Linked DNA regions of Xenopus tropicalis. The protein of the gene in region 3 interacts with the protein of the main gene of each other region in a pairwise test. Links are inferred from orthologs where the notes say so. Each region holds a gene or a part of one and is shown on either strand. Other genes may lie near its edges.

Region 1 (6,452 bases), on a different chromosome or scaffold from region 3:
AGAAAGGTCATCTCCAATAGACTCCACTATAAGCAAATAATTCCAATTTTTAAATTTGATTTCCTTGTTCTCTGTAATAATGAAACAGTACCTTGTACTTTATTCCAACTAAGATATAATTAATCCTTATTGAAGAAAAAACAAGCCTATTGGGCTTATTCAATATTTAAATGATTTTTAGCAGACTTAAGGTATGGAGATCCAAATTACAAAAAGATCCCTTATCTGAAAAACCCCAGGTCCCAAGCATTCTGCATAACAGGTCCCATACCTGTACTGACTTTTCTAAATTATAGCACTTACATCCTAATAATGAAATACCCCCTTGGTTTAGAAAAAACAGCTTACTACAGATCAGATTTTTGGTAAGCACTTTATCAGATGGAGCTTCCTCTGTTGCACATTGCAAAATATCCGCTCAGCGATTCCTGGCAGGTGCATCCTCCTGTCAGTGCAAAGCCTAAGCTGTGGAGATAGTAGATTTCTCACCGGAAACAGAGATCTGTGGTGATTACATATGTGAAAAACCTATTGCAACCATTGGTCTGAAAGTGGGTAATGTTTTATAATTGCAATATATACTGTATAGTTTTATTAAATTCCTCTTTATGTGACATTTTCATTCTTAGCAAACAGGTAACAAAATTAAAATAAAACATCACTATTAATAAAAAATATGCATACAATGTTATACAGGTATGGGACCTGTTATCCAGAATGCGCAGAACCCGGGGCTTTCCGGATAAGGGATCTTTCCGTAATTTGGATCTCCATATCTTAAGTCTACTAAAAAAATCATTTAAATATCATTTAAACCCAATAGGATTGTTGAGGATGAGGATTAATTATATCTTAGTTGGGATCAAGAACAAGGTACTGTTTTATTATTACAGAGAAAAAGGAAATCATTTTTAAATATTAGAATTATTTTCTTATAATGGAGTGTATGGGAGATGGCATTTCCGTAATTCAGAACTTTCTGAATAATGGGATTCCGGATAATGGATCCCATACCTGTATTTGCTTTTCTTGAGGCTTGCTGGTTAGAGCAAGTTTGTGCGCTGCTTTCTGTGTATCTCGCCACATGCCATCATGCTTCTTCTTTGTCACTGTGTCCAGTTTAATGGACCAGTCTGTTTCTCTTTATACTACACTGTAAAGTGTAAAACATCATTGCTCTCAGTCAAGCATTCATTACTTTATTTATAAATTCATACTTTCTGATCTGTGTTTTTTTACTATTATATATGGCACAGAGTACACATTGATGAGTTTATTTTTGTTTGTTTGTTGTCACTTTTATGCTAATGACAATTGAGCATTTTGACCTGTAAAATGCTTAAGTAAGTTTTATTTTGAATGATAATGCTGTGTGCTTCAGACACGGCACTTTAAGGGCAGTAGCACCTCAATATTTGCTGGATGACTAGGGTGGTCAAACATCCATTGTGCCAATAGCAATTGGTGAAACCATGGGTGTTATATGCTTTGTGAGAAACCATGTTTGTTGAAAAATGTAAAAACAACAACTATAACTGGAAAGATTAGAAGGTTATTAAAATGTATATAACATTGTATTCAAATAACCAAAACAGATGTAATAAGAAGCCCGTTATCAAGAAATCTCTGAAATACAGCAATGCCATTTCTCACAGAATCCCAGCCCCAAAGTGAAAAGGTTAGCTTTTTAGTTCTGCTCATTCCTCTACTGTGCTCCCAGACCCTGGTCATAGAGACGATAAGAAAATGACAGGGATTTTGTGCTTCTACAGTAGTACCCAAAACCAGTGACATTTTCAATTACTGGAAGCACTAACCTGGGGTCTCAAACAATTACAATCACTGTGAGGTGCTAAAAAATGCCACCCCCTAGTGATTATGGCTTTCTTCTCCTTTAAACAAATCAGTCATTTTTGAGTGGTTTACTTTTTCTCTGTAATAATAGAACAGAGCCATGCACTTGATAATATCAAAGCTAAAATAAATGTATTATAAAATGACTCATCTAAAAAAATACCCCCAAGTCCCAAACATTCCAGATAACAGATCCAATAATCTGTAAAACTTTCCCATCTAAGTAGTAACCAGAACTTTTAAAACTTTAAAAGGCTAAATGTGTATCTGCAGTTTCTTGGAAGAAAACACTGTTCTTAGGAATAACTGTGTATAGTCTCTAGTGTGCATCTGCTATATGGAATTCATATATGGAAGTACAATGAGGGACAGACAAGTCAGTAAGTCAGAGAGTACTTATATAAATGCCGCAGCATCTGCAAGTGTCAGCCACTGAGGAGCAATCCCTAGGTGTTTAAAGGAACAGTAACACCAAAATATAAAAATGTATAAAAGTAACTAAAATATAATGTGCTGCTGCCCTGCACTGGTAAAAGTTGTGTGTTTACTTCAGAAAGTCTACTATAATTTATATAAATAAGCTGCTATGTAGCCATGGAGGCAGCCATTCAAAGGAGAAAAGGCACAGGCACATAGCAGATAACAGATAAAACACTACTGTATTCTACAGAACTTATCTGTTATCTGCTATGTAACCTGTGCCTTTTCTCCTTTTTTCCAGCTTGAATGGCTGCCCCCGGGGCTACACAGCAGCTTATTATATAAATTATAGTAGTGTTACTGTAGCAAACACACCAGTTTTACCAGTGCATTATATTTTTATTACTTTAAAGCTCTTTCATTTTTTGGTGTTACTGTTCCTTTAAGAAGTACTACTTTGTCAAATTCCAGGGCAATTTTCACCTAAATTGCCCCTATCTAAAACACACAATTGCATGATTCAAGTGAACGCTATTAAACACAGTATGTAAATATGGTAAAGAACGAAGGGCAATAGCACATGGTGAGATCTTGGGCATTTTCCCTGGCGTTTATTTTAGTAATCCATACCCAAAGGGGAATAACTGGACTGCATTTTGCCCCTAAATCACCTTAAGAGACACATGAAATGGGGAAGCATCTATGAAAAGCAAAACCTTCTATAGCCTTAACCACAATGTGTGGAGCATTTTGACACACTCTACCAGTCAGTACACTCAGACTTAAGCAGCATAATTAAGCACCCACCAGCAGTAGGATCATGGGAAATGTAGTCCAACAAGAGCAGCATTGCAAAGGAAATGCTTATGACCACAAAGTATGCAGTACAAACTAGTTAGATATGCACAGCATGCCCAACTTCTATGAATGAGAGTCCTTGCATACTGTGCATTACAGATTTGATTTAATACATTATACTTACAAGTGACAATCCCTCTCATTAAGTAGACATTTCCCTTACACATAAACAAAGCTAGAGTTCCCCATGTCGTGTAAGTACAGCTCACAGAACCCATCAGCGATTGCAGGTAGTTGTAGTTGGATAGCTGCAAGGCCTAGTTAATTCACACGGTAAGGCAAATATTATACAAACAAGTGGCTACGAGTACGGGGCCAGTTGAAAAGGGTCTGTCACTTAGAGAGCCTGCAGTTTTCCCCCTCACCTGTTTGTGCCTGAAGGCCCAGGCCTCGGTCACGCCGCGGCCTCTTTGTGTCTGCCAGACCGCTCCCCCTACCCGGGGTCCTGCTACTAATCCCGGCCTCCTTAGGCTACCGGACGTGACGAGCAGACCGGGCGGAGGCACAGCAGACAGAAGGGACGTAAAGCTACCGAGGATGGTAGTTATGGGAGGGCGGAGACACAGTGTCAGACAGGCGGAGGTGCTGCAGACACCACAACCTCTCTGTTCCTGTCTACCAACCCGCCGCCGCTTGACAGTCAGAGGGAGGAGACGCTCGCTCCCGCGTTTTGGTGGGGGGGACGTCGCCACTAGATTGCTCACTTCCCTCGCTTCAACCTGGTGTGGCACTAAGCACGTCTCGCTGACAGTCACGTCTGGAATAAAATCTTGTTCAGAACATAATAATTTAGGATTATGAGTGAAAAAAACTCCAATAGGCGCTTGCGTCCGTAATTGTGAGCACTGTTATCCGGTCAGGCGCGCTCACTCATACATAACTCTTGCGCATGCCTACAGACTGGCACACACAGGGCAGTGGGAGTGAATGAAGTTCAGGCCACTGAGCGAGTTGTCGCTTTTTCTCCGCCTCACGGAGACTTACATTAGTATGTACAAAGGCGCTTGGCACGTTGGAAACGCCTACATAGAACTGTCCTGTAGGTGTCGCTCTCACAATTCCTAAGCGCACGGATACATAGGGTCATACTGTTAACAGGGCTTGTTTTCCGCGGCTCCTCCCACTCGGCAGTCGGGAAGTGCTTTACTGCACAACAAGGTGCACACGTGGGTGCCGAGAAGTGGCCGGGGAACTATGGCTTCTAGAGCTACATGGGAATATCATGGCGCCCCACAACATGGCAAGGGAGCTTTAGTAGGTAAGGGACTGCGCATAGATACGTCTGGTCAGTCCTCTCTCTTACAACATTTTGAGCTGAGACTGTATCCCTAATGCTTGTTAAATTGATCTTGTTTATTTAATACGTATAAGCGGTGCCATCATTATGGAATGCTGTAGCTTCCAAGGCTGAACCTGTAGGCAGGGATTCTTGACCTATGCATGGGACCAAAAAATGAGCCACATAATCCCCAGGACAATGACACACTGAGCTACTTGTAGCAACTACAAGATAGACAATACTGATAATTGTCTCTGTGTGTTTTAGCAGTGACGACTCAGTGCTGTCTATGGCAGGATATTTTCTGACTTTTTGTAGCCACAGCAAGTTTGTGTGTCATAGCCCTTATGGCTGATGTTCAACAGGGAGACTATTGGTCCAAGGTTAAGGGCAGTGGTACACAGGGAGACTAATATCCCAGACATGTCATCCCGCCAGCAAGAATGTAAATCGCCGGTGGGATGGCATACACATTGCTTCCGTTTTCCAAAGTTCCCTTGTGAGGCAACTTCAGGCGACCGAAGCGATACATATACCATCCCACTAGCGATTCTTATTCTTGCTGGCGGGATGGCATGTCGGGGAAATTAGTTGCCCACGATAGTGAAGAAATATCACGGGCCACTAATCTCCCTGTGTTCCACTGCCCTAAACCTCTTCTACCTCGGGCAGTTTACCTCCCTAAAATGCCTTTCCTCCTGCAATAAAGTGAATCGTCAGTGGAAAGGCATACACGTTGCTGCCTTTTAACAAAGTTATTCAAAGATTCCTCCTGCAGAAAAGTTTGTGCAGCTTTGGAAAACGAAGTTTGCTTTTCCATCGGCAATTTAGGGAGATTAGTCGCACACAGTACCTGGAATGAACTGCGGGCGACTAATCTCCCCATAGGCCATTGCTCTTAATGATGTGATGGTCTTAACCAATTATATCACAACCTTTTCACCTGAATAAAATAATAAGTTGTAGGAAAATGTATCTGCATGATGCCAGAAATATAAGAGAAATGTTCTTCCCATCCCCAATAATGTTTTAATCACCCAATTTCCTTTTATGCAGTACAGTTTTCCAATGGAACTATCCAGTCCCCTGAAAGTGTGAATTTCACTTTATACAGCAACAAAGATGACAACAATCCTAAGGCAAAAAGACAGAGGATTCTGGTAAGAGCATCATGACAGAAGTCACACTGTGATACACTTGTTAATATCCTCCATATTTTTCAATTTTTTTCAATATATTTCGAGTTTTTTAACCACAATTCGAATCGTGCTATTTTTGGTGTTAGAAAACTTGAATTCTGAAAAAAAATCAAACTCCAACATTGCTAAATCACCCCCTTAAGTGTCAGCTCTGCTTGTTTCCGCCTGAATTTTATGGGCAGGCGGAGAGAAGCAGATCCACTCTTCTGCAGCTTGGGCCATCTGCGCTCTGTGTAGCTGCGCTCAGGCTGAAGCTGTACTTGTCTACACACAGCTGCAGAAGAGAGCACATATGCTTCTGAGCTGGGCTAATGCTTAATGTGACTTTAGCTTTACACTTTTAATTTTCTTATCACTTCTATTCTTAATCCCCATGCATGCACTGCGAGAACCTACTCCATGTATATAGTAACCAGCTTTAAATGATTAGAAAAAAATATATATAATTTTCTACCTACTAGTACCCCCTCACTGCCTCCTGAAATGCTTTTGCTTATCCTTTTTAATTGCTTTTCTGGGTGCTTTGATGTTCACATTCACCATCTTTGATGTTATGATATCACTAAGATTCGTAATGCAGAAAGCCTTGAACAATTGAGCATGCTCCAATTCCTGGGTCAGGGGTTGGGTGAAGATCTCAGCAGAGATGTTGAGATCTCACCCACAGCTCAGAATGCGTTAAGAATTAAAGCTGTATTATTTCAGAGGGTGTCACAATTAAACTAGTTGTAAATGGTTAAGTAGGCTAACAAATTCTACACTTTACATTTTTAGGCTGCGGAAACTGACAGACTGAGTTATGTAGCTAATAATTTTACCTCCGATGCAGTAAAGAGCAATTC
Region 2 (5,916 bases), on a different chromosome or scaffold from region 3:
TGTATTGGACCTGTGTTAGTCACATAATGTATCACTGATTTCATATGATATATACATGATTTCATAACTAATAGTAGTCAATACAGCTAATCTTTTTTTCTGCTTTAAGGGAAGCAGATTGTTGGTGTTAGTATCACATTTAGTTCACATTAATATTATGATAAAGTTTTACTAACTGGCAAATAATATCAGGGGCAGGAAGTATTGATGTATTCAGGGCGATACAATAAAAATACCATATTTTATCTGAAGGGTGGTTGTTTAAATGTGACTATTTATATATATATATATATATATATATATATATATATATATATATATATGTATGTATATTTTTATTTATAAAGCGCTACTTATGTACACAGTGCTGTACAGTAGAATACATTAATACAAACAGGGGGTTAATAAGATAGTAGAAAAAAATACAAAGTATAACAATAAATACAAATAATACAAGATACAGTTGCAATAAGTTAAGACACAAGAGGATGGAGGTCCCTGCCCCGTAGAGCTTACAATCTATATGGGAGGGTAACTTACAGACACAAATAGGCAAATATAAGTGCTGTAGGTCACAGTGGGTGACATTACAATATAAGTGCTATTTCCCAGATCAGGTGCTGGGTGAGTGCTCCAAAAGGTAGTCTTTTAGATTGGTTTTAAAAAGACTGGGGGAGGATTCTCTCCAGAGGAAATATATATATATATATATATATATATATATATATATATTGTCATTTTGAACAACCACCCTTCAGATAAAATATGGTCCCCAATAATATCACATAAAGCCACAAAAGTGAATAGGTTCTGTGTTTGGGTGCTGAAAAGTTTTATAGAATTCAGACACTTCAGAATTTTTAGAATATTTGTCAAGAGAGTTTACTGTGGGTATTTGCTATCATCCACACTTAAGGCTGTCCTAAAATCATACACCACTGGTGGAAGATGCTAGGACTGTGTGCTGTATTTATTGAAGCGCACAGTCCTGTCACCATTTGTACAATTATTTTAGAGCATGGGAGAGATCGGGGAAGCAAGTATTTATTTTTTTTCCCCCCCACCAGGCCAAATTTTTATTATTATGATTAGTGTTCTCTTATGGATAATGAATTTATTACTGTATTTTCTTTCTCTGCAGGAGGATCCAATTGAAATCTGCTTGCGCAACATTTAAATCTTAGCATCTTTACTATATAGCTTTCAGTTTGTTTACTTGTATTTTTGCGATTTGTGTCTATGTATTTTGTTAAAGATAACATTCAGCAATTAAACCTTAAAAGAATTTATTATTATTATTTTGCAAAATAAAAAAAAGATGATTTTAACAATATGATATTATATTTGATTCTTGCATCTGAAAGGAGTTTTTATGTCCTCTCCAGATTGGCATGTTTTTTTCCCCCCACTTTCAAAAATATATTGGTAGGTTAATTGGTTCCTGATAACACTGACCCTAGTGTATTGAGTGAATGTGATAAGGACCTTATATTGCCAGCTTCACTGGGATAGGAACTGATGTGAATGATACTCTGTAAGCTCTGTAAAGAATTGCTAGTAGTTAACGGGCAGTGGTAAAAATGTAGAGTTTTAATGATCACATTGCAGTTGCTATACAGCTGTACAATGTACCTTGACCAATGTAAAGGAAACTTCAGGAAGTGTTACTTTCCAGCATTTGGCCAGTTTGTTCGCAAATTGAAAAGAATTTCAACATCTTGTGGCGCTAGCTTATAGATCCCAAGTTCATTCAAGGCAGCTGTTGAAGACGGGAGTTTGTCGTTAGAACTGCATGCATTCATACTCTCACTGGCAGTCTGAAGAACGTCCTTTAGCAGCAGGGCTGGTCCCACATTCAAATTCAGGATGATGCAGGCTTCTTTCACACTGTTGGGGATGCAGAATATATATGAATGTGAAGATCTCTCCACACTACCAAAAAAGCAGAATTCAGAAACACCTGGCTATGAAGATTTCTCTTTTTTAAGAAACAAATTATGGGCCTTTAGACACAATATTGAAAATACGATTATGTAGGGACAGCAATTAACTTATGCGGATGAACATGGCTTTTTTCTGGAAAAGCTTAACAAAAATGGTTAAAAAAAAAAAATTATATATATATATATAATATATTTATGCATGAGTCTTCGCTTTAATTCTGCATGGAGGCTAGATCTGCAGTTATTTGGCAGTAACATTTGTAAAGAATATATCCTCATGTTTAATATGCGCCAAAATAGAAATGCTCATATTAACTTAACCACAATTTCCCAATATAAGCCCTGGTTTACTTTGAACACAGGTTTATATTTACCCTTTTAAGTATTGGACTTGTTTGGGGAACCAGTAGCATCATGTCACAAAGTTTCACACATTGGCAGTGCACTTCAGGTAAGCATAAAAAGCCGCAACAGTTAATATTAAAATTGATCAACCTTTATTTGCACATCTAAAAAACACAGCTTGAGGTCTTAATTGTTTTGTGACAGCGCACTTCCTCGTGAATATAGCATCATAGCACCTTTCATTCTCAGTCTCAATAGTAGTTGTGAGAATAAAGGCAAATTGTGATGAAATACACAATATTTGCTTTCTGCTTTTTTTCTATTGGTTTGATATGGAGGTACATGATTGTATTCTCCATCAGTCCCAGTAAGTATTCAAATTAAAGATGTTTCCTGCCTATATTATTAAAATATCCAATTGTAATTACTTCCTGGTAAATAAAATTCAGGAACTGTGAATACCTTTTTTCCCCCCAATCCTGTACTGCAAACATATATGTTTGGGTTGAAGTTAAAGCTTTAAGGATCAGTGTTGCATGAAATAGCATTAGGAACCAACCACATTAATGTTCTTAGTTAGTGTCCATGGCACCACAGTACCAGCCCTGCAAAATCCCTCAGCATGCTGTAACTGGGCCAGGCAACAGGAAAGGACATTCTATAGAGCGTAATCACTTACTGTTTAAAATAATTCTCTGGTCTTTTACAATAGTGAGAGAATAAAGGGAAGAGATTCCGTGACATATCAAACTGTAGCTGTGCTGCTCCCCCTTCGTTGAAATGATTTGCCAGGATTATCTAAGAAAAATAAAGCTCAATAAATGAGTTGTGCCTATACAGTACAAATATGTTTCAGCTGAAATGAGTACTAACATCCTGATAAATGAACAGATCCAACTTCTCAGCAAGCATCTGCCAGACAGTTTTAAACAAAGCATGACATAGCTGCTGCTCCATTTGCAAGAGGCGGTCTCTCAGTGCCAGAAGCATTGGGCAGGCTGTGCTAGACAGGGACATGACAGCTTGTTCTGATTGTGAAGGCAGTGACAGCCACCTGCAACAACCAATAACATTTTGGTCAGTTTAGCAACAACCTGCAGCAATCATTTTCCTTATCAGATTTAAAAATGTATTTACATGCTATTGATAAAAAAGAATACAGATAGATATGGTAATATCTATAGCTAATTGATTTTTTGTTGACATGGCTTTTGCAGGTCACTTAACATGCTTATGTTACCAGACATACTGTAGATTGTAATACCTACAAAGCAGGGGTATCACAGTGCCTGAATAATTTTTTGGGTACTGCTTTGTAATAACTTCTTGTAACACTGCAATGGTCAATGCACAAACACTTGTATTTACTAAAGGACAAAGGTATTTGAAAATTTTTAACAAAAAAAAAAATGAATTGGGGGGAACAGAAATTTTCCAGGTGATTTGATTTCTTATGGTTTATGAACTGAGTCTTAAAAATGCATATTTTTTTTTAGTTTTGCCAGTAAGAATTAAAATTTTTGCTCTGCCATATTAGTGGTAGAATATTAGAAAGTGCAGATTAGAATCTGAAGGTTTTACGTTTACCTTTCTTTTTTGTACATTCTTGCAGCCTCCTTGACCTCTTTAAATACATGTTCTACCTGACGAGATAGCATGTCATTTTTTAGACGCTCCAGAAGGTTGATCAGGTCATCGAAGACAGATATTTCCATGGAAGCCAGCTGCCCAAGCTGTAGCTTACTGCTGGCATTGAGATCTGTGCAAATCTCCAGAGCAGCCTGTTGAAGCTGTAAAAAAAACTGGAAACACAGAAGGAAAGTTAGGGCAAGGGCACAACTAAATTTTGAGCTATGGAAGTTAGCACTGCATTCTGATAAGTGACAAAGGAACAATAATGCAGACAAGCAATGGTCACACAAGTCTAGCTACATTGTCTTGGTGTTTTAATGCCTAAAGCAGACTACATATAACTGTTACCCCTCCATCTCATCTCTCCAAGATGTGTGGATAGGAGGAATAAAAGACTGAGTATGCCCCAGTGGCGGCAATTAATAGTATGGGTCTTACTTACAACATTGTCAGCCCAATCTCCAAGAACTGTTGCAATGTAGTTGACAGCATTGAGTATTGCACAATATCTGAAGCCCAGGGGATCTCTGCTCTCTTCCTTCATCACTTGTGTTAAACGTATCCTGAAGTCATCAACTAAGTCCTTTTGCAGCTCCAGGAATTTTAGCTTTCTGGATGCTGTGGGCAAATTTCTGTACCTGTCTAAAAAAAACACAAGCTCATACAACCATCAACATTATAATAAGTGGGGCCACCAGAGGAACTATGGGTAGTTGCATGTTAAAAGTCTGAATACATAGTAGCAATGCTCAAGGATCTCATTTATTTCATATGCCACATCTATGTTATTAGAATTAGATTCCATTCACATGAACAGGTTGCAAGAGAGCTTATTTGAGTTTTTTTGGCTCATGTGCTATAAGCCTTATAGTTAAATGAACAAAGTAGCATTTGGTCACTGGGTGATAAATTAATATCTGTTATAGTGGGCTCTCCTAGCATGAAAAGAAGTAGACTGAGGTAGCACTGTTTGGGACAGCCTTTGAGTTACCTGTGATAACAAGTAGGAGAGTCATAAATGTTTCAGCAGAATCTGGAACCTTCATTTCATCCACATCAGATATATCTTTATATTGTGAGGTCCAGGCAGCCTCAGCAGACAGCATGGAATCCATCTTTTCTAGAGCCACTAGAAAAACATTGATGCAACAAACACATTTTAAACTTTTGAAAAGATGATACTCAATGCAAACGTTTTGTCGCCCTTGCTAAATAACATTTAATTCATTTTACAAGTCAAAAGTAGGAAACAACTGCAGGAGTTACATTTAATTTCACCAAAAGAAAATACCGTATATACTCGAGTATAAGCCGAAAAATGTGCTTAAAAACTCATGCTTGGCTTATACTCGAGTATATAGGCTGTGCTGGCATTCGGCTCGCACGCCGAATAGTTTCACAAGAGGTGCCTCTTTCCCGTATTCATTAGTGATTTGCTGGCACAGCTGCACAGCTCACCCACTGAACGCCAGATTGATCTATTACAGTGCATTTAAGAATGAGCATGTATCAAGCTGACTGTATATAATGAAATGGAAACCTGCCATAAGCGTACTTACATTGTATTTGTAAGGTGAGCATCATGGTCTTTATTTTATGCGTTTGTGATCACAAATCTAGTTGAAAGAAATATAACTTAACTAATTTTTTGTTCTGCAATATCAAGCCATGGCTCTGTTTGTCTGAGGCTGCATTGGTCTAAGTAGAGCCATATTTTCTTGTCTGGGAACTTTTTTTTGTATATCCAAGTACACACTAACAAGCATGGTAGCTGACTGTCAATGCACACAGGGGGTGAAATTCAGGGCATACTAAAACTCAGGGCAGAGGGCAGCAGATCACACACCAGTGGAGAAAACACCTCCTAGCCTTAGCCATCATAACTGGTACAAATTGTACACAATCAAATTACCTTGCCTTGAGGCAAACAGCTCCATCACAGGGAATCAGTAGCCAATGTCATTAATATTATTATTTGCTGATATGCAGATAATGG
Region 3 (5,916 bases):
ACCACTTAGAAATAAAGTGGCCATCACTTGCCCCCCCAAATGCCATATCAATGATATAAAAGATATATAATACATCAAACAGTTTAGCAATCTATATTCCAGCAATAGAGAAGCATTTTCAAACAACCTGCATGGTCATATACCTGAATCAGCAGGGGACTTGCTCCGACGCGATGGTGCTGGGCTCTTTGCTGCACTCTTCAGATTGGCAGAAGAAGAAGATTTGGGTGTTTGAGCTGGAGTCCCCTTCATTACACGGCACTCTGTGAAGAAGCCAGAATGCACAAATAAAACCATGAAGCAACAAAGCTCATTACACAAGATATTAAAGTCAGGGTCAAATAGCCTGCATGATGCCAAGTTATGTATATCCATGCCTGCAGCCTTTCAGCTAGCACTATCAGCATCCTCTAACAAATGTTTGTCAAAGGGTGATATATTTCAGCAGCAACTGGAAGCTAAAGGGCGCACACTGCCCAGCACTGATACACAGCTATACCCAATATACCTTCCTATACACACTATCCTGCACTTGCTGCCCCCTCCCAGAAATTCATAGATCAGTGGGGCGCAATGTAGTTTCTTGATTTTTCTACCGCATACAGGCGGCCCTCCTTTCCACCTTAAGGGCCCCCAGCCCAGGCTGTGAAATATACCTCTTACCTCCTTCCTCCTCTTTAACTTACAGCTGTGATAGGGCGAGAGGGGGTGGCTCTGGACTGGGGAGTGTCAGTAATTGTCCTAGGTGAGTGGGCCTAGGTTGGTGGTGCCTACCAGGTTTTTTCCCAGTGTCCTTCCAACCCTGGGCTATAGAAATGATTCAGTCTGTGTAGAAGCTGTCATTAAGCTGAAGTAAAGGGAATGTTCACCTTTCAAATAACTGTGCACATTTTCATCTTTTTTGTGGTTTCAGAATGTTTTTAAATTTTGTTTTCTATTTCTATTTTCTACATTCTTTTGAAATTCAAAACAGATGACAGACTGATAGATAAATTAAAGGTAAGAGACACAAAAAAATACATTACCCTAGCAATTACCATAGCAACTATAGGCATTTAAAGCTTTAGTTTAGAGAACAGAAAGTGAAATAATTGAAAACAAAGACAAACTGCAAACGTAATGTTAATTTTAGAGTGAACTTCCCCTTTAATACAAATATGCAAGTTAAGTGGAAAATGTACAGCACTGAGTATCAGGTGATTCAGGGAAGCCTGCTGTAAATCATCATATTTGGTAAAATGATGCACACTAAAATCAATTTCCTCTGTATTCTCCCTGGGCCATGAGGGCACCCCACCCCACATATGTGAAGTCAGGCAAAATGTAAAATATCCGCGCAGTGCCAAGTTTTGAAATCGAGGAATGGCCTTGTTTCATTACATAAACCCACATCATATCCACTATGTCTGTGAGCGCAATCTGTGTATTTTTAGCTGCACGACTGCAGGGGAGGATGTGGAAAAAGAATCCAATTGAGTTTGTATCAAATGAATTGGTTGCCAAGCAAATGACTGTTCTGCAAATGGATTCGAACAGATCTTTCTGACTAAGCAGATCGGCAAACTAAATATTTATAGAGAGCTGAAATAAGAAACGCTGAGAATGACTCACTGTCCATAGTGATAATCTAGCACACATTAAGGCTAATGGCAAATGTTTCTCTCCCAGTGAATTTCAGTGGAGAAATGCCCTTATACCCCTTTTGCCTCCTGTCATTCACACTAATGCCAATAGTTAAGGTGGTTTTCTACCGCAAATACACATCTGGCCAGTTTTGGGCCTGTCGCAAGGGATCAATTACTGGACACAAGGGGTGGGGGCTTGCCATTTCGTTGCTGGTAGAGAAACATTAGGTGTGCCATTAGCCATAGAGTCCTAGCAACAGAGAAAAGGTGTTACATTGGAAGGGTACAGACACACCATGTGTTCATTCCCTGTACGTGTATAATATGCAGAAATATATCAAGTGGCTACCGAGGGAGATAATTAAGGACAGACATACTACTCATACATGTATGTATAAAATAGATTTGGAATCAAATATGGAGCAGAATTTGATGAAGTTTATATTTTCCTAAGGTTCAATATTCTGCCAGATGCTTCATCTAAAATAAACAACAAACCTCTGCCAAGATGCTTAAAAAAACCTCCTGACAATTATATTTGTTATTAAACCTTGAATTTTACAGTTCACCTCACTGTCACTCTGTCCCTCAACCATAATGAACTTACCTAAGGCTAATCTCCAGGAGGCTTCCATTAATTCTTATGGTTATAAAATAGAAAGACACATAGCAATGCCTTTGTCACCCTCACAAAATGTAACTAAATATATTTTCTTTTGATGTAACTTTAGAATAATGCTGTAGTTATTATTATAGTTTATATAAAAAGCACCAGCATTTTCTGAGAAGAATACAAACAGTGTGACTGAACAGAAACAAATTATAAACAAAGAAAAGAGCTTCCAATCTGCTACAGGTATAAAGCATAGGGTCGCATGAGTGAGCTTTTTATACTACATAGCCTCGACAAGGATTTGCCACAATCTAATCCCATTTGACATTACCATTTTCATCCAGGGAGAAGTCATCTTGTGCATATCTAAACTTCTCAGGGCCACAGGCAATGAACACATCATCCTCCCCAAAGAAATCGTGCAGACAGGTTACCTGTAACATAAGTAAAGGCAATGTTAGTTTTGAGTTTAATAACTATGACAGGGGTCAATGCTGCAACAGCCCTGCAACCTATGACGTATCTTGGCGGGACACAGCCCAGCTTCATTTTCTCCAGACCAGTGTCGGGCACTGGATCTCCTATGGCAGGAAAGAATTCCTACAGCAGTAATGAATCCTGTCTCACCATAAGCCTAGTGCTGTTAGAGAGGATACATCTTTCTACTGTTGTTATGGGAAAACTAATTGCCTTACATGATATGTGTCACTTTCTGTTTTAATAGGAAAATCTAAAGGGATAGGTTTATCTCACAAAGCAGCAGTTTTGCCATGCTTTAATCTGGCCAAAGTTGTTTGATGTATTTGGCCTAACCTGTTCCTCAGTTGGATGGAACATTGCATTCAACAGCACTGACCAGAGGGTACAGTGTGTGTGTGTGTGGGGGGGGGGGGATAGTTCATTCAGATACACAGGCTAGGGATGGCCAGGGGCTGCAAGGCACTGGAGAGCCCTGTACTTACCTCCTTCTTAAGTACAGGGTTCCCATGGCTGAAAAACACAACTTGTACCACCAATCCCATATGAGGTTGGTAAATGACCCCCTCATCTGAAACCAACTAAATTACTAAAGGATTTAGAGCTAGAGTAAGGGAGACAAGGCCAACATAAACATATCCAATAAAAATGAAACAGAAATACTTAAAAAATAAACTATCAGCATGATAGTATCATTTTAATATAATCTGACCCAAGAACATGTTACATTTCAGCCCATTGACCCATTGTTTGAGAAAAATGGGACTGTACACTGATATCATTCTTTGCTACATTTGTGCTACAAAGCTCTGATTCTTTCCAGTTATGTTTCTGACTGGAAAACTGAAATATTTTTGTCCTTCTCTGAACCACAGACATGCCATGTCCCGAACTGCCCAAATTTCACCAACGTAATACAGTATCATGACCCAAGGTCCATGAATATGCACTGTACTGCTCAAACCGTTGTGTGAGGCAGTGATTCATGTTCTTGTTTTACATATTTTTGTCTCATTAGGTTGAGGACAGTGTTGGACGCTTATCAAGGGAGGAGCTAGTTGTGCTCACACTGTCTTTGTGGCAACCTTGAGGAATATCTAGCATTCAGCTCTTTTTGTTGAACTACAGCACCAGATTTCCATAGCCATAGACTGTCAATTAGTTCTGAACGTTATAGCACTTCATAATTCTTGTTCTTCAGGCAAAGTCTACAGTCTTTTTGCAATGCCCTGCGCATGTGGTGGACAGCCTATGGCCTTTGGTTGTTTGGTCACGGGGTCGTGGATTGCCAAAGCCTGCCCTAGATATAATAGCTTTCACAGACTTTATACATGGAGGTACATACAACTCTAACTCCATACAACTCCAAAATTCAGATTTTAGTCTTCTTCCAATGAATGTTCGGATATCAGTCATGCGTTTAAATGCAAAGATCTGAAACTAACATTCAAACTGAAACTGTTTAAAGATAAAGCCCTAAAAATACAAATTGGAGGATGTTCTGAACATGAAATAGTTGGCAGACACCAATCATATGAAAGTGGCTTCCACTGTAGGTCCCCCAAGGATATCACATGATACACAATACATTTGCAGAATTTTTTGTTAGTCAAACGAAGCGACTAAACCACTGATCGCCATGATACGAAAATTATTGGGGCGATAATTCGGAGTCCACACACGGTCTGAAAATCATACAAAACTAGGTTTTGTACGATTTGATCATTACATGTATGGCCAGGTAAGGTTTTAGATGAAAGAAATTGGTATTAGCACCAGAGGAGTTAATCATCTTAAACGCCTCCCTAGGACGCCAGCTAGAAATGTCTCAAGGCGCTTGGAATGGAGCTGATAACAGATTATTTGCTGGGGGAAGAAAGCTACTAATTTGATTCAAATTTCATCAGCTCATTATACTGTGTATTTATAGTAACGTCCCCAGCAGCCTAAAGGCAGAGAGATCTAAAAGTGCACATTTTGTCAGAGTTAGGAAAACAAAGAGAGGCTGGATAGGGGACCTCCCATCACAGCAGGCCTGTCACAAACAATAGGAGAGCAATCATGAGGAGCAATGCTACGCCTTTCCTATTGAATTGTTACCACCCTCCCTCATTTACGTTGGATAGAATCTACCATCGGCCCAGATTACACTGCAGCTGAGCATCTGCTATTATCAAATGCTACTTTGTGTTGGCCCACTGCAGAGCAATGACAATATCAGTGGGAAGACACACACAAGGATTTTCAAGTTACAGGTTGTGAATTGTGATTAAATGGATTACCTTGGGGGACAGACATTGCTGAAATGTAGGACCTACACACAAAGAGGTTAATGGGGCCATGTCCAAAAGCTTAAGATCTAGGAATTTGTTTCTAATATTCTTGTACAGTGTATATTACATCAGGCTACACATTGCTTTGTTTTTCTAGTGCATTATACACCTGTTTTCTTGCCGCTGCCTGTCCTGCTGTATGTTCTGGTGTTATTGCAATTAATCAGCCATTGTCTCACTCTGCAATGTGCTTCTGGCTATAATTAGCCACTGACACACTTACTGTGTGTTTCCTGGGTATGGTACAATCATTAGACACTGCTTTGCCAAGTCATTTTATGGCATTGGCCTTGTAGGCTTTCAGACACACTATATAAGCATCTGTGTCCCTTGGTGCTTCATTCTGGGGAGACTGGTAATTACTCACTGTCTGGCTTGTTATTTATTTATGGGGATATTAAAGAAGTCACTTTGTAAGTGTTATCTGTTCCCTATTCTTTTTTGGCAGTGAGTCCCCCTAAATTAAACCTCCCAGCCCTTTTGGTTAAGTAAAGCCCAAAATAGGCAACAACCTGATTTCCATTCCCCACCTGCCCTTACCATGTGTGCCAATGACATGCACATTAGCTGTGTAGGAGAGTAGCAGCACAGGGCGACTGCTAGTGTGCTCCCCTGGTAAGAACAAAACACCTGTTTAAGGCATGATGCCAGGGGAAGAGCTGAATACAGCAGTTTGGGAGATTTGATTTCTATGGAACAGTTTATTAATTAAAAAAGCAAAGTGAGAATGCACAACTAGTACAGTTATAGTTGTGTAGTGCAGGACTTCTCCTTTAAGGATGGGCATCTACAGTTTATTTAATCTGACTAAATGAACAGCTGCTGACCCTAGGTCTGAAAAATTGTGCCAGTCTCTGAAGCTGGTGGC
Region 4 (6,522 bases), about 11 Mb from region 3:
ATTTCTATCCTCCATAGGTGACATAAGCCTTATGCTGGGGCCAGACAAGTACCTGTCAGTCAGGCAGTGTTCCTCTATGGATGCAGCCAGATAGGCAGGAGTATCTATAAACACTTTCTTGGCAACACTATGCCCCCACGTGGGGTGCAGGACAATATTAAGCATTTAGCATAACACCAGCATTGACTGAATGTACAGGCCCGCCAATCTCCCCTGAGCCTTTGCACAATAGCAGTAATGTTTGAAGGCACACCTATTTTGTTGGCCACAAACTAGACATCAATGCATCAGGAACAGCAACAAGGCAAACTGTATATAGCAGTGCAACAAATGTGTCAAGCTCAATGTACCACTTTCCTATAATTTATTGTATTTTAACTACCATTGGATCAGGCCAAAAACAAAAATCATTGCACCAAATTTAGCATCCATGGACTGAGATGATCTAATAAAGTGTCTTTTAATGGAAAAAGATTTTTGAGTGCTAGCCATAAAATGTACGTGGTGGTAAGCGACTGCCGCCACATTCCCCATTAAATATTTACTTGCATGGAAGTGCTGATTTCAAGTCACACCTAATTCAGTGGTTCACAGTGGAGCCCCATTGGCTCCTATAATGTGTTTGTGCTCATTTAACAGCATTGTGTCCCCACAGTTGTATCTCTCTAGCTCTTAGAAATACAGTGCTCCATGCAGAAAGCAGTGTCAGGAGATGCAGCCCAGCCCTTTAGGCAGGCGTTAAGTACGGCGTCCCAAAGCAAGCTGCAGCTTCTTCCACTTATGTAATGTGCTTGTGCAAGATAGGGAGCGGGAGGGGAGGAAGCCTACATGCCCAATGCAGGTCGCACTTAATCCAAACAGCAGTCCACAGAGGCCAGTGGCTACACAATGACCAACGCAGTTGATAAAGTGCAAAAAAATGCCAGATTGTGAATGACCCCTATATTGTAGGTGCACTTGTGTCACAGTAACACTTCCACCTTAGGCTAAGCACAGGTCCTTTCTAGAACATTTCTACATGATGGAAGACCTTAAATGAACTAGGAAGGTGGCTGAAAAGTCTGGCATTTTGCAACAAAGATTGTTTGCAACCGTAAGGGGAGAAATTTGCCTTAAAATGAACTTTTACTATGATTCAGACCATGCATTATAAGACAATTTGCAACTGGCCCTCTGAATTATCTACATCTTCTGTTGTGCATCTGTTTTAAACAGTTATCTGGTTGCTAGAGCTTATTTACCTAGCAACCAGGCAGCAGATGGGAAGAAATAAAAAAAAATTAAGACCAACTGGGACATTGCTTATAATAGGTCTCTCTCTAACATAGTAAAGGTTTATTTAAAGGTCAGCTTGTATGGAAATAATATAAATAATACCTGGAAGAAATACAGTGTAATTTTTTTTTTTTTTTTTTGCTTTCTGCTTGCCATTATATAAGAAAATACACAGAGCTACTTTCTGATCTTGAATTAAAAGAAGAGTGAAGAAGTCTTTGTACTGAACAAACTACAGATATATTTGTTCCCTGGGGCTAGATTTCCCATCCAAGTCCTTTGCTGAATGAGCCATGTTGAAGTTGGTCCTTGGGGATGAAGAAGTCTCATTTACTGGCAACCCTTAAGCCCAGAAACATAGGGAGACTCCTGAGGTCTGGATATAGTTTCTTGCGGCTGAGACATAAAGGAGTCCATAAAATCCGGAGCAGGGAGTCCTGAGAGTATCAACACAGACTTGTTCCATATAGTGAAGGTTGGGCACACAGGGAGAATAAAGGAGATGGGGAAGGTGTGCAGGTGGAGGGAGTTGGCTGGATCATAGAAGGAAAGTGTATTATTATCATAGTCTAGGAGAACACCTAAACGTTTCAACTGAGGATTCACATCCAGAAGAGCTTCTTTGTTATTGTGTCTTACAAGAAAATTATTGTTGCATCGAGTGAAGACCCACGAGGAGGTATTCTTCCCAACCCACTCATTCCTTGGAGCGGATTTATAGGCGATTCCTATTGCATACCTGGAGGGGGAGAAAAACAAATGTAAAAAGGCGAAACCAGAACATATATGCTCCTTGCTGCAGTCTTTATATTTGAGTCATTTTACTTGAAACAATTGATGGAGGGGTATTCCCTTAATACAAATGTAGTGTATAATTACAAAATCATTTTTAAACATATTAAAACATATAATATAGTACAGGTGTGGGGCCTGTTATCCAGAATGCTTGGGACCTGGAGTTTTCCGGATAAGGGATTATTCTGTAATTTGGATCTCCATAACTTAAGTCTGCTAAAATTCATTTAAATATTGAATAAACCCAACAGGATTGTTTTGCCTCCAGTCCAAGGTACTGTTTTATTATTAGAATTATTTGCTTATAGTGGAGTCCATCGGAGATGGCCTTTCTGTGTTTTGGAACTTTCTGGATAACGGGTTTCTGGATAAGGGATCTGATACCTGTACATACCAAACACAGTGTCCCAAAAAAAAAATAAGCACTCAAGGCAGATATGTTGGTGTGTGGGAGAATACCCACGAGCAATTTTACTTGCCCAGTGTAAACACATGACAATAAGGACTCTTGTATTTCAATGCAAACAGAGTTCCTCAACAAAGGTGCAAATAAGGTGACACTATAAGATCCAGGAAGCTAAAATGTCTATTACAAGTGCTATGAAAAGACAATTTACATATACCACATAGGCCCACCAGTATACAAGAAAAACTCAGCCCTTCACTCACCATTTGGCCTTGTATGCTGTATATCATGATCAGTTCAGATTACGGTATGAGAACAAAACAGGGGAAAAAAACTTAAGGGAAGGACAGATGATCCTCTTGGGGTAATTTATTAAGTGCAGGGCAGGGTGCACACAATAACCCATGTTTTTTGCAGTTTGTGCCCTGTTCTGAAACTTAAAAAATTGTAATAGGTCTCTGCACACAAAAACGGAGCACAAAGACCTGTATCTCCACCTGTGAACAGACTGCTGCCTTCATGATGGGCGGGTGTAGGCAAGTAGGCGTCCTGCCACACAGTTACACAAGGCTGCCCAGTGTCCAACACCAACGCAATCTGCACTTAGTGATAGATTTCCAATCCAGCGCTAGGGTTGCCACCTGCCCATTATTTTACCAGCCTAGCCAGGAAAAAATGATTCTTCATTCCAATGTTATTAACAGGGAAAAAGCATACAAATATAGGAAAGCTGGTAGTTTTTTCAAGAAAAGGTGGCAACCCTATCCGGCATGGGGTGCAGAGTGCAGCCAGACCCGGACGCAAGTGCATTATAGTACACTATGGGGCAGATTTACTAATCCACGAACGGATCGAAAGCATCCGAACGCGTTTTTTTATAATGATCAGTATTTTTGCGACTTTTTTTCGTCGCCGTTGCGAAAAAAAATGGATTGGTTTTTCCATCGTTTACTATCGCTCAATACAAAAAAATCCCAACAGCGACAAAAAAGTCACGCAAAATACGGTAAACTAGGAGAATAAAGAAGGCAAAAAAAGACAGGAGGAGCATTATTTTGAAAAATGAGCCCTTGCACGACATTGTAAAAAAGCGATATATAATAAACAAGAGCCATAATTATATATCCTTAAAACTGTGCTTGGTAATGTCATCAGTTATATCTGTGCTTAGTGATGTAATTTATTTATATATATATATATTTTACAACATTTTCCAGGTTGTCATAACAAGCAGAATAATAACCGAATGCATTGTGCATCCCTCTTTGACCGATATGTCAACCCTTCCTCCTTTGAAATCATTGCGTTAATCTAATTATGAGAGGAAAAAGCAAATCAATTCACTGTTTATTTGACGAGAAGAGATTTGTCTTAAGTGTCATTTAATGGTAGCAGAAAGTAAACGTTTTGCCTCTGCGTATCTGTGCCGAGACCCTGACTAATGCACAACAATGTTAAAAATGCATTAACCGCACACTGTCACTTGCATGGGATTCTGGGTAATATGTCCGCACAAATCAAGGATTTTGCTGGTGGCTTTTTATTCTATTAACTCTGCACAACACATTTTTTCTGCTGCAACCTGAACATTACCAACACCTCTGCAGAAAGGAGTGGGGTAATTTTACGCTTAGGAAGCCTGAAGTGCTATGTACCTTATTAAAAATGAATGTTTGAGGACTGCACGCTGCATGTTAAACAGAATCAGCGTGAGATTTTAAAGCCGAGCCGACAGCATCATTGTAATAGGAGTTGTCAGGAACCAACTGACCACATAGTGCAGGACCCGGGGGGGAGAGGGAGAGTGCAGGATTCACACAGGGCCATTAAAAGTTATAATAACTTGCTCAGACGTGCATTCAGTGATTTAACGTGCAGCGGCGTAATTTGATGTTATTGAGCCCCAAAGCAAATTCTTTATAGGGCCACCCCCACCTCAGAAACCATAGGCATGAAATCAGCTGCAATTCCTTTAGTGAGGACCCTGTCTCTGTTATTTATACCCCTGGGCACCTGCGTACGTTGGAACCTTTCCTATTTTACCTTTCTTCCCTATTAAATGGGATTGGCATCAACTATTAAACACTTTGCTGGATGGGGGAAACCCTACCCCTGGGCAACCTGCTCCTGCTACACTGCACTGATAATACAGAGAGTAGCAAGGAGCAGGTTGCACCCAGCTTAGATATGGCAGCGGGCGGCCTCTTATACCTAAATACATAACTAAGGGTACATTTGCAGCTCCCCAGAATACTGCGGCAGCTATCAGCCTTCATTGGGTTGGCTTTGAAGTAAATGGATCACAGGGCTCATCGGCAGCTGAGAAGCTGACCTAGCGTAAAGGCAAATAAATAGATGCAGGCATGGGGCCACTAATGCACAAACAGCCATAACTAGAAGACTGGAGATGGGCTGACCCATGGGTTCCCAATCTAATAAATGACTATACAGAGCTCTTACAGGGGAATGATTATTGTCCATTTATTTTTTTCGAGTAATGTATGAAGAAAAAGCCTACAGACCCTTCCCTCTCAGTAAAACTGAATTAATGCATAAGGATGCCATATATTTTTTATAGAATGAAGCAGAGAAACTCAAGCTGTTCATGGTGATTATCACTGTTGCCATTAAGGTCTACAGTCAGTTCTGAGTCATTATAAGCCATATGTCAAGGAGCAATCTGCCCATCACGCCGCTATGCTATACCCTTATACTATAATCTATTTACTGAATGAACAGCATACATCTGAAATCCTACATTGTAACTGGTACTTTATCCAGCTTTTGTATTTTAATATACATTACATTCTATTCACTTTCTATCTACTTCTATCTTTTATCTGCTGCCAAAACAACTCCCCCACCCAACCCACACACATTCAGCCCAAGGACTAGTCTATACAAAGGAACTTTAGATAAAAGATATTCAAGGCACAGAGCACAACAATATTAAAGTTAAGGCTAAATAAAAAAGATCATGCTTAGCGGAATTATGCAGAACTTTCATAAGTGCATATTAAAGGGGTAATTCAGCTTTAACATGAAGTAGACATTGATATTTTTTTCCCATTTACAATTATTCTTTATTTTTTGTGGTTTTTCAGTTATTTAGCTTTTTGTTCAGCAGCTCTCCTGTTTGGTATGTCTGCAGCTATCTGGTTGCTAGGTTCTTACTTAACCCAGCAACCAAGCAGTGGTTTGAATTAAAAAAAATGGAATATGAAAAGGAGATCGAATGAACAGGAATATAAGGAATAAAAAGAAACAATAACAATAAAATTATGAGCTTACAGAGCAATAGATTTTGGGCTGCCGGGGTCAGTGACCCCTGTTAGAAAGCTGTGAAGAGGCAGAAGATGAAGGCAAATACAAATAAATAGATAAACAGGTAGTTGCAAAGCTGCTAGGAATAGGGCATTGGCTCTTGCTGCAAAGTGTTAAAGAGCAGGTACAAGTTAATAGCACCAAAAGGGCACAAACTGAATCTACTTTACCTCTTATTGTGCTTATAAATATATAGCTCTTATATGTGCCATGAAACAGCAGCTGCAAAGTGACTTATGCTATAGCTATTTGAATTAAGACTCAGAATAAACTAATCTGCTGGTGTAACTAGATGGGGGGATATATTTACCAAATGCAGCTAATGGTGCAAAGTGCACTTTTTGGAAATAAATCTGCATTTTTTTCCCCCACAATGCAGTGTTTTCTCCCCAGCATTCCAGCACATTGGCCATGGCATCCCTTCTTGTGGGACAACATGCACAGCATTAATTACAGTGAGCAATTCCCTTGGTGCAAGTCAGTAGCAGCTATTGACATAACCCTTTAGTGGAACCATGGAACAACTGCCACATCCAGGCAAGTAGCAATCCCTACTGTCGCTATGTGTCCACTATTCATTAGAGGAGGAGGGTAGGTGCATTGGCTCTCCCCACAAGTGCAAGGAGCTTATACAGGGAAGGCTTACTTAGAAAAAAACATCCAGATGTTTCGCTAAAATCGGGTCCGGCATGAGTATCCCCCAACACTTCATTTAATAAAAT
Region 5 (5,916 bases), on a different chromosome or scaffold from region 3:
TAACTAAAAGTCCATAATTTTATTTTTTATTTTCAAATTAGACTAAATTTGTTTTTCAAATGTCTGATATTTACTAAAAAAGTTGCAAGGAAAAGTTGCTCGGAGAAATGTCGTAAAAAACGTGACAATTCGAAAAAGTTGTGATTTTCGGATAGGGATGCACCGAATCTAGTATTCGGTTCAGTATTCGGCCAGGATTCAGCCTTTTTCAGCAGGGTTCGGATTCAGCCGGACCAAATCCGAATCTTAATTAGCAAATAATAAGGATTTGGATTCGGTTCGGTATTCGGGAGAATCCCTTAACATTCGGCGCATCCCTATTTTCGGTGCATCCATATTTTCAGAAAAAACCCAGTAAAATCTCAAAAGTTTTGAGACAAAAGAAAAAACTTTAAGGAAAGGGAAGGAATCTCTGCCATCGACTTCTACATAAACTGCAAGAATTGTCAATTTGGATTTTTAGCCGTTTAGATGCATAGTAAATCAGTGTTTTTTCTCTGCAACTTTTTAAAAAAAAAATTCAAATCAAGTCTAAAATTGATGGTTAGTAAATGAGCCCATTAGGGTGTGAAGATACAGGTATTATTGAATGGCAAGATTGTTAACTAGAGATGAGCAGAACTGCCCCATTTTGCTTTGCTGGAATATTTGCAAAACCACAGAAAAATTCACAAAAAGTGACATTTCACCAAAATGTAGCCAAATGCATTGGAGTCAATGGGCTCCATCCCTGAAGTGGTGTTTCGGCAACTTTTTCACTGGCAAAGTAGATCGCATTGCAAAATGTAAGCCCAGATTTGTAAACATTTTAGGCACTCACAAAGAAATCTGTATTAGATGAAAAATGTCTCTCATCCCTACTGTTACCAACTATTAGACAATAGATCAGTGGTTTTTCGTGGTTTCGGTTCAAAAATTCTTCTGCTTCAAAGTATGTTCAGGGCTCCCCCTTCTCAAAACTTATATCAAGACTATCAAGGACAGGAAATGATTAAATAAAAACCTATAAAAATAGAGATTAAACTTTTCTTCTGTAAATAATGATTGGTATAATAATATATTAAAAAAATGGACGTTTTTAAGAGAGATCAAAAGTGACACCGGGGACAAGAACATTCATTGAACACTTACCTCGTCTATTGATTTTTCATTAATCTGTCCAAAATGATGTCCAGGAGGCCTTATTCCAGACACCATTAAACCAGCGGCATATATTCTTTGTTTCTGCAGGTCTGCTTTATATTTATCTAGTAGGACATTGGAAGCATTAATGTCACTGCCTAAGACCTCATGGTCTCTTGCCATTGGAACATTGCAAGCAGGGGAACCAAAAGGCATGCCTACTGGACCATATGGAAGTCTGTCTATTGTCTGAGGGTTTCTTCTAATGTAGGTAATAATCTTAGGTCGGACATGCTTGGGTTTAGGGATGATTAGAATTGGTTCAGGTGCTTCTTCTGGCTTTTCATTGTCATTGGTGTCCGTATCAGCTTTACTTGCAAGGCAAGGCTTGGAATGTATTAGTATTGGTTTTGGAATTCCACTACTACAAAGCAATTTGTTAGTGGCTTTAGGGGAAATGTTTAAGACTTGTGTACCATCAAAAGGTGGCAGAACTGAGGAAGGTGACAATCTGTCAACATGAACAGCATTAAGATCCACAGAGCTGCTCGGTGAGGCAATGCACTGATCATTAATATTTACTGCAGTCACGAGGCCTGGTAAAATGGGAGCACATGAAAAGGTATCAGTTAGATCCTTCTGGCTGTCTTTCATGCTGCCTTTTAAACCATCTGACTGATGTTTTCTCCCGACAATTGCCTTTTTGCTCTCAACTAAAGCCGTTTTATCCTTTGTGGAAGCCATGTTGCTGCTTAAAACAAAATTATTGTCACTGTCCTGGCAAAGAAAACTTTCAAGTGAACCTCTGTCTTTATGTAGAAGTGGTTTATTATCCAGGGAATCGCTGAGTGATGTTGTTTTTCGTATAAGAGGCTTGGTGCTTAGCTCTCTCCCCATATCAGATGCATATTCATCCGGCTTCTTATGTGCTAGACTAAAATGAGATAATTTAGGGCTGCTACCGAAACTCTTGTCTTCATGGTTTATGACTTTGTAACATTGGGACATATCTACATGACCCAACGGAGCATAAAGATTTGAAACTGGAGATGTTCTGGATTCGGAAATATTGCCTGCTGTCTTGGTACCTGAAATTGCAGTCATCGTACTCTGGTCTTGTTTGTGCCGACAAATTCTTTTAGACTGTAATAAGTTGGAATCTGAAATTTCTGAAGTTTTTTGTGTTTGACCCTGATATAATTGTGCTTCTGTTATATTAAAAATTACCTGAGGTTTAGAAGGGATTCTTAAATGATGGTCAGTGCTTGTGGGACTGGTATGTAGTGTGCTTGGCTTATTACCACTTGATAAGGCTCCCTCGCCTAGTGATAATTCAGGGACATCTGAGGTAGGTGACCTGGAACAAAGTACAATCTTTTTTTCCTCTGAGCCGCAACTGTGTGTATGGGAAGAGAATCCAAATAAATGGTCAACTGGTATTGATGAATTAGTTGCCCTAATCCCGTGATTTGGCATCTGTAAATACTTGGGTGGGGAGATCAAACATGGCGTTGGTGAAATACGACCTTTAGCAAAAGTTTCTGATTTTGTCGATACCATACCTGATTTCAGAAAGGAAATTCCTTTAACCTGTTCATTGTGTGATAGGTTACCAGTGTTATTACTACACATAATGAGGGAAGAGTCACTAACTCTGCTCTGAGGATACACCAAACTTCTGTCAAGCACACCCGCCTTTGAATGTCCATCAGCCTTTGAATGTCCATCAAAAGCTCCAGTTGTTTTTAAACTGCCTTTAGCATCATCAGTCACAAAATGTTTGTTAATGTCTCTTTCTATCAGGGATGGTGACTTTGGATCACTCAACGGCTGATCACCAGATGGAGAATCCTGACCAGAGGTGAGCGATGTACTGTGCTCCTCACATGACTGGGAAAGATCTGACTGTGATGTGGACAACCCCCCTGGTTTTTTAATGCTGCTTGAGACCTGAGTTTTCCCTGTTGGGTATATTTGGTTGGCATTGTTATCACCTAAGCTGATCACATTTTTGTTGTCAACTTGATCTTGGTTGCTGTTAATGGAATTTCCAGTTGAACATTCCTTGCTTGAAACCATAGGTGTGCTCATTTTGGAATAGCAGTTTCATAAGTACCACAGATTGAAATTGTGTCACCTCTAGACAGTTGTATTAGTATGTAACTTATTAAATTGCCGTCATATTTCAACATTAGTGCCAACTCAATTTCTGTCCACGTTGACTTATGGCTTTGTTGGCCTCAGTGCAACATGTTGCATGTGTGAGCCTGTAAAAGAGAAGAATATTTATGTAAGTGTACAGATTCTCCATAAGTATATAAAAGACTAACCAACATGTAATACAAGGTACTAAGCAATAAGATATTTGTTTTCAAACAGGTGACTAGTCAATGCTACTTGCTGATTGGTTGCTATGAGTTACTGCCCCTGGCACCATTTATTACATAATTCCATAAGGGAAACAGATGTGTTTTAAAAGTTTTTGCCATAGTACAAAGGGTAACAAACATTTCAAAGCATATTCTCATGATTTTATGTTGGAATCTCATTAAACAACATCTCTTATAGAATGGACTTGATTCCCAGAGCAAGTTCACCTACTTATTTGCCTCCTACCCCACTTTCTACCAACAATTCCATTCCCTCTTGTTGCCACCAAAATTTTTCTCCTGCTCCTTCAACCTTCAAACTGGAATGTATTTTCTATATCAGCACCCGAGGGTTCATGTCTAGGGTAACAGCTTTAGGGGAGTAACCCTGGATGTGGATTAAGGGGGACAAAGCTGTTTAAATTAAAAAAATCCTCTCATCTGAGGGGGGTGCCCTACTCTTTAAAGTTTTTGACATTTGGCACAGACTTCACATGACTGAATCCGCATAGGGCTGCATCCAACCCAAATACATTGCTGATCCAACTTTGAAGGATTTTCTTTTCACTGTGATATGCTAAATATAAACCCTACTGAAAGAAGTCACTGACTAGTTCTATGACCAGGTCATGGAACTCAGAGTTGCCTTCCAGCACCCATATACCTGTATCGTAAAGAACAGGTATATAGAAATGTTATTTCTTAAATAAATCACATATTAATGAGCCATATAACCCATGCCATGTCATTAAGAACCAATCCAGTTGCAATTCAGTAAAGCTTCTTTACCTAACAAAATAAATAACTGAAGATTTACTCTCTTGGGAGAGCTGTGGTGGATAGCAATGTAAAATATCCTTGAACTTGATACATATACAGGTGGATCCATGGCTATTCTGTTGCGTTACCTAATATTTATGAAAATTCTAAATGCTTTATATGGACTTACCCTACACTAAATACCAAAGGGAGGTTCAGTTCTGTTAGGAAAAACATCAGTTTACTTTCTTCACTGCAGACTCATAACTCTTTAGAAAAGTGACATAGTGGCATGTTATTGCATCAATATTACTATTTAGAAGGTGTCATAACTGTCCTAGGGAATACAACAAACCTAATAAATAGTAATAATTTTATATTAATAACCATATAGTAATGCCCTCCTAATTGGTAACGAGTGAATAAAAAGAACAATGCTTAGATTTATAACTGGCAAAGGAATGAGTAACCATATACATATGATTATGTGCTGACTCCACCAAGATGTTACATCTCTTTTGTAACATAAAGGACTAACTACACGGCCAACATAAATAATTCAATTACAGATATCATATCATGCACCAAACACAATTCCACAGGGGTCTCAGCTATAAAGGGGTAATGGTGCCTGTGGCACATGGTTACAGCACTGGATGGAGCTGACACAAGCCCTGAGAATCCTGATTCAGGCCACTAAGGGACCAACTGAACTGAAGTAGGCTTTATATTCCTATGAACACATTCACTTCAAAGAACACTTAGGTGCACAACATTCTGAAGGCAAAAGCTGAAAAACGCAATCATATTTTTAGAGCCAGTACATATTTATACATCTTGCATTCCTCAAAATGTTCAAATGGAAAATATACACTGTTTGGAAGTGGGGTTAGCCTTCCATTTATATTCTGAAGAGACTGCTTAGTACATTATGCGCGTATGATGATTACTTCTTTATAGGGCTTGATCCTACTCCATGGCATGAATACAAATATAATATGGCTGATACATTCTGTTTATAAATATGGCTTCCTCACACTGCAATGATTTGAAATGATATTAACTTTGCAGCAGAGCAAAACTTTACAATTATGTAAAATTCATGGAAATCAAGCTCAATAGCCATAATGATAGTGCCTTGCCTCCTCCAGCCTCTAGTAAAGCCAAAAATCAATATAATGGAATGTGAGAATAAGTTGGACGCCATACTTTGTAACATGCAGCTGTTTGCTTATCTGGCAAATATCCCTGGTGGTGTTGTCACCACAAAATAATATATATGTATTGTAACACATAATTCATACACATGTAGAAATGTCTTTTAAAGCCCAATGAGCCTCACACTTGATCACTCATTTAATTTGACACTTTATACCCACCTCCTGGTGTGTTATTTATGGCAATGGCCACCCAAAGGGGACCACTACATGTATTAATAAACCTAGTGGGGTGAATGCAAATGACTCTATTACTTATGTGAAATGAGAATTCAGGGCTTCAACTGACTACTGTGTAAGTGAATGTTTTTGAAATATGGAGCAGCCAAAGTTTTATGAAGTAAGGATCCAACCACAGATGCTCCATCTTGCTAGCAAGTAAGGGTTGAGAATCCAAGTAGAAATGGGCACACTGGCCAGCTGTTAGGGAGGATGATATGGCAGTTACT

What was found.
Region 1: the proteins of dcx (region 3) and zbtb5 interact in binary tests that used the Homo sapiens proteins (3 or more experiments, as listed by UniProt). The two-hybrid records come from large-scale screens. The link is inferred for Xenopus tropicalis from reciprocal best matches to the Homo sapiens genes DCX and ZBTB5.
Region 2: the proteins of dcx (region 3) and rint1 interact in binary tests that used the Homo sapiens proteins (3 or more experiments, as listed by UniProt). The two-hybrid records come from large-scale screens. The link is inferred for Xenopus tropicalis from reciprocal best matches to the Homo sapiens genes DCX and RINT1.
Region 4: the proteins of dcx (region 3) and mid2 interact in binary tests that used the Homo sapiens proteins (3 or more experiments, as listed by UniProt). The two-hybrid records come from large-scale screens. The link is inferred for Xenopus tropicalis from reciprocal best matches to the Homo sapiens genes DCX and MID2.
Region 5: the proteins of dcx (region 3) and mtus2 interact in binary tests that used the Homo sapiens proteins (3 or more experiments, as listed by UniProt). The link is inferred for Xenopus tropicalis from reciprocal best matches to the Homo sapiens genes DCX and MTUS2.

Annotation. Positions count from the first base shown.
Region 1 is NC_030677.2:109,092,767-109,099,218, reverse strand, and holds the start of zbtb5 (zinc finger and BTB domain-containing protein 5), read right to left. Parts: upstream 3,996-6,452; 5' UTR 3,498-3,995; intron 503-3,497; exon of another isoform or gene 306-502; coding exon of another isoform or gene 304-305; intron 1-303. UniProt on the Homo sapiens protein: May be involved in transcriptional regulation.
Region 2 is NC_030679.2:77,078,198-77,084,113, forward strand, and holds the end of rint1 (RAD50-interacting protein 1), read right to left. Parts: intron 5,050-5,916; coding exon 4,912-5,049; intron 4,563-4,911; coding exon 4,363-4,562; intron 4,091-4,362; coding exon 3,876-4,090; intron 3,343-3,875; coding exon 3,162-3,342; intron 3,087-3,161; coding exon 2,968-3,086; intron 1,888-2,967; coding exon 1,665-1,887; 3' UTR 1,270-1,664; downstream 1-1,269. Other genes in the region: efcab10 (EF-hand calcium-binding domain-containing protein 10), read left to right, coding at 1,142-1,184. UniProt on the Homo sapiens protein: Involved in regulation of membrane traffic between the Golgi and the endoplasmic reticulum (ER); the function is proposed to depend on its association in the NRZ complex which is believed to play a role in SNARE assembly at the ER.
Region 3 is NC_030684.2:51,647,735-51,653,650, forward strand, and holds part of dcx (neuronal migration protein doublecortin), read right to left. Parts: intron 2,673-5,916; coding exon 2,570-2,672; intron 264-2,569; coding exon 144-263; intron 1-143. UniProt on the Homo sapiens protein: Microtubule-associated protein required for initial steps of neuronal dispersion and cortex lamination during cerebral cortex development. May act by competing with the putative neuronal protein kinase DCLK1 in binding to a target protein.
Region 4 is NC_030684.2:40,258,699-40,265,220, forward strand, and holds the end of mid2 (probable E3 ubiquitin-protein ligase MID2), read right to left. Parts: intron 2,015-6,522; coding exon 1,606-2,014; 3' UTR 1,303-1,605; downstream 1-1,302. UniProt on the Homo sapiens protein: E3 ubiquitin ligase that plays a role in microtubule stabilization. Mediates the 'Lys-48'-linked polyubiquitination of LRRK2 to drive its localization to microtubules and its proteasomal degradation in neurons.
Region 5 is NC_030678.2:154,662,598-154,668,513, forward strand, and holds part of mtus2 (microtubule-associated tumor suppressor candidate 2), read right to left. Parts: intron 3,390-5,916; 5' UTR 3,214-3,389; coding exon 1,132-3,213; intron 1-1,131. UniProt on the Homo sapiens protein: Binds microtubules. Together with MAPRE1 may target the microtubule depolymerase KIF2C to the plus-end of microtubules. May regulate the dynamics of microtubules at their growing distal tip.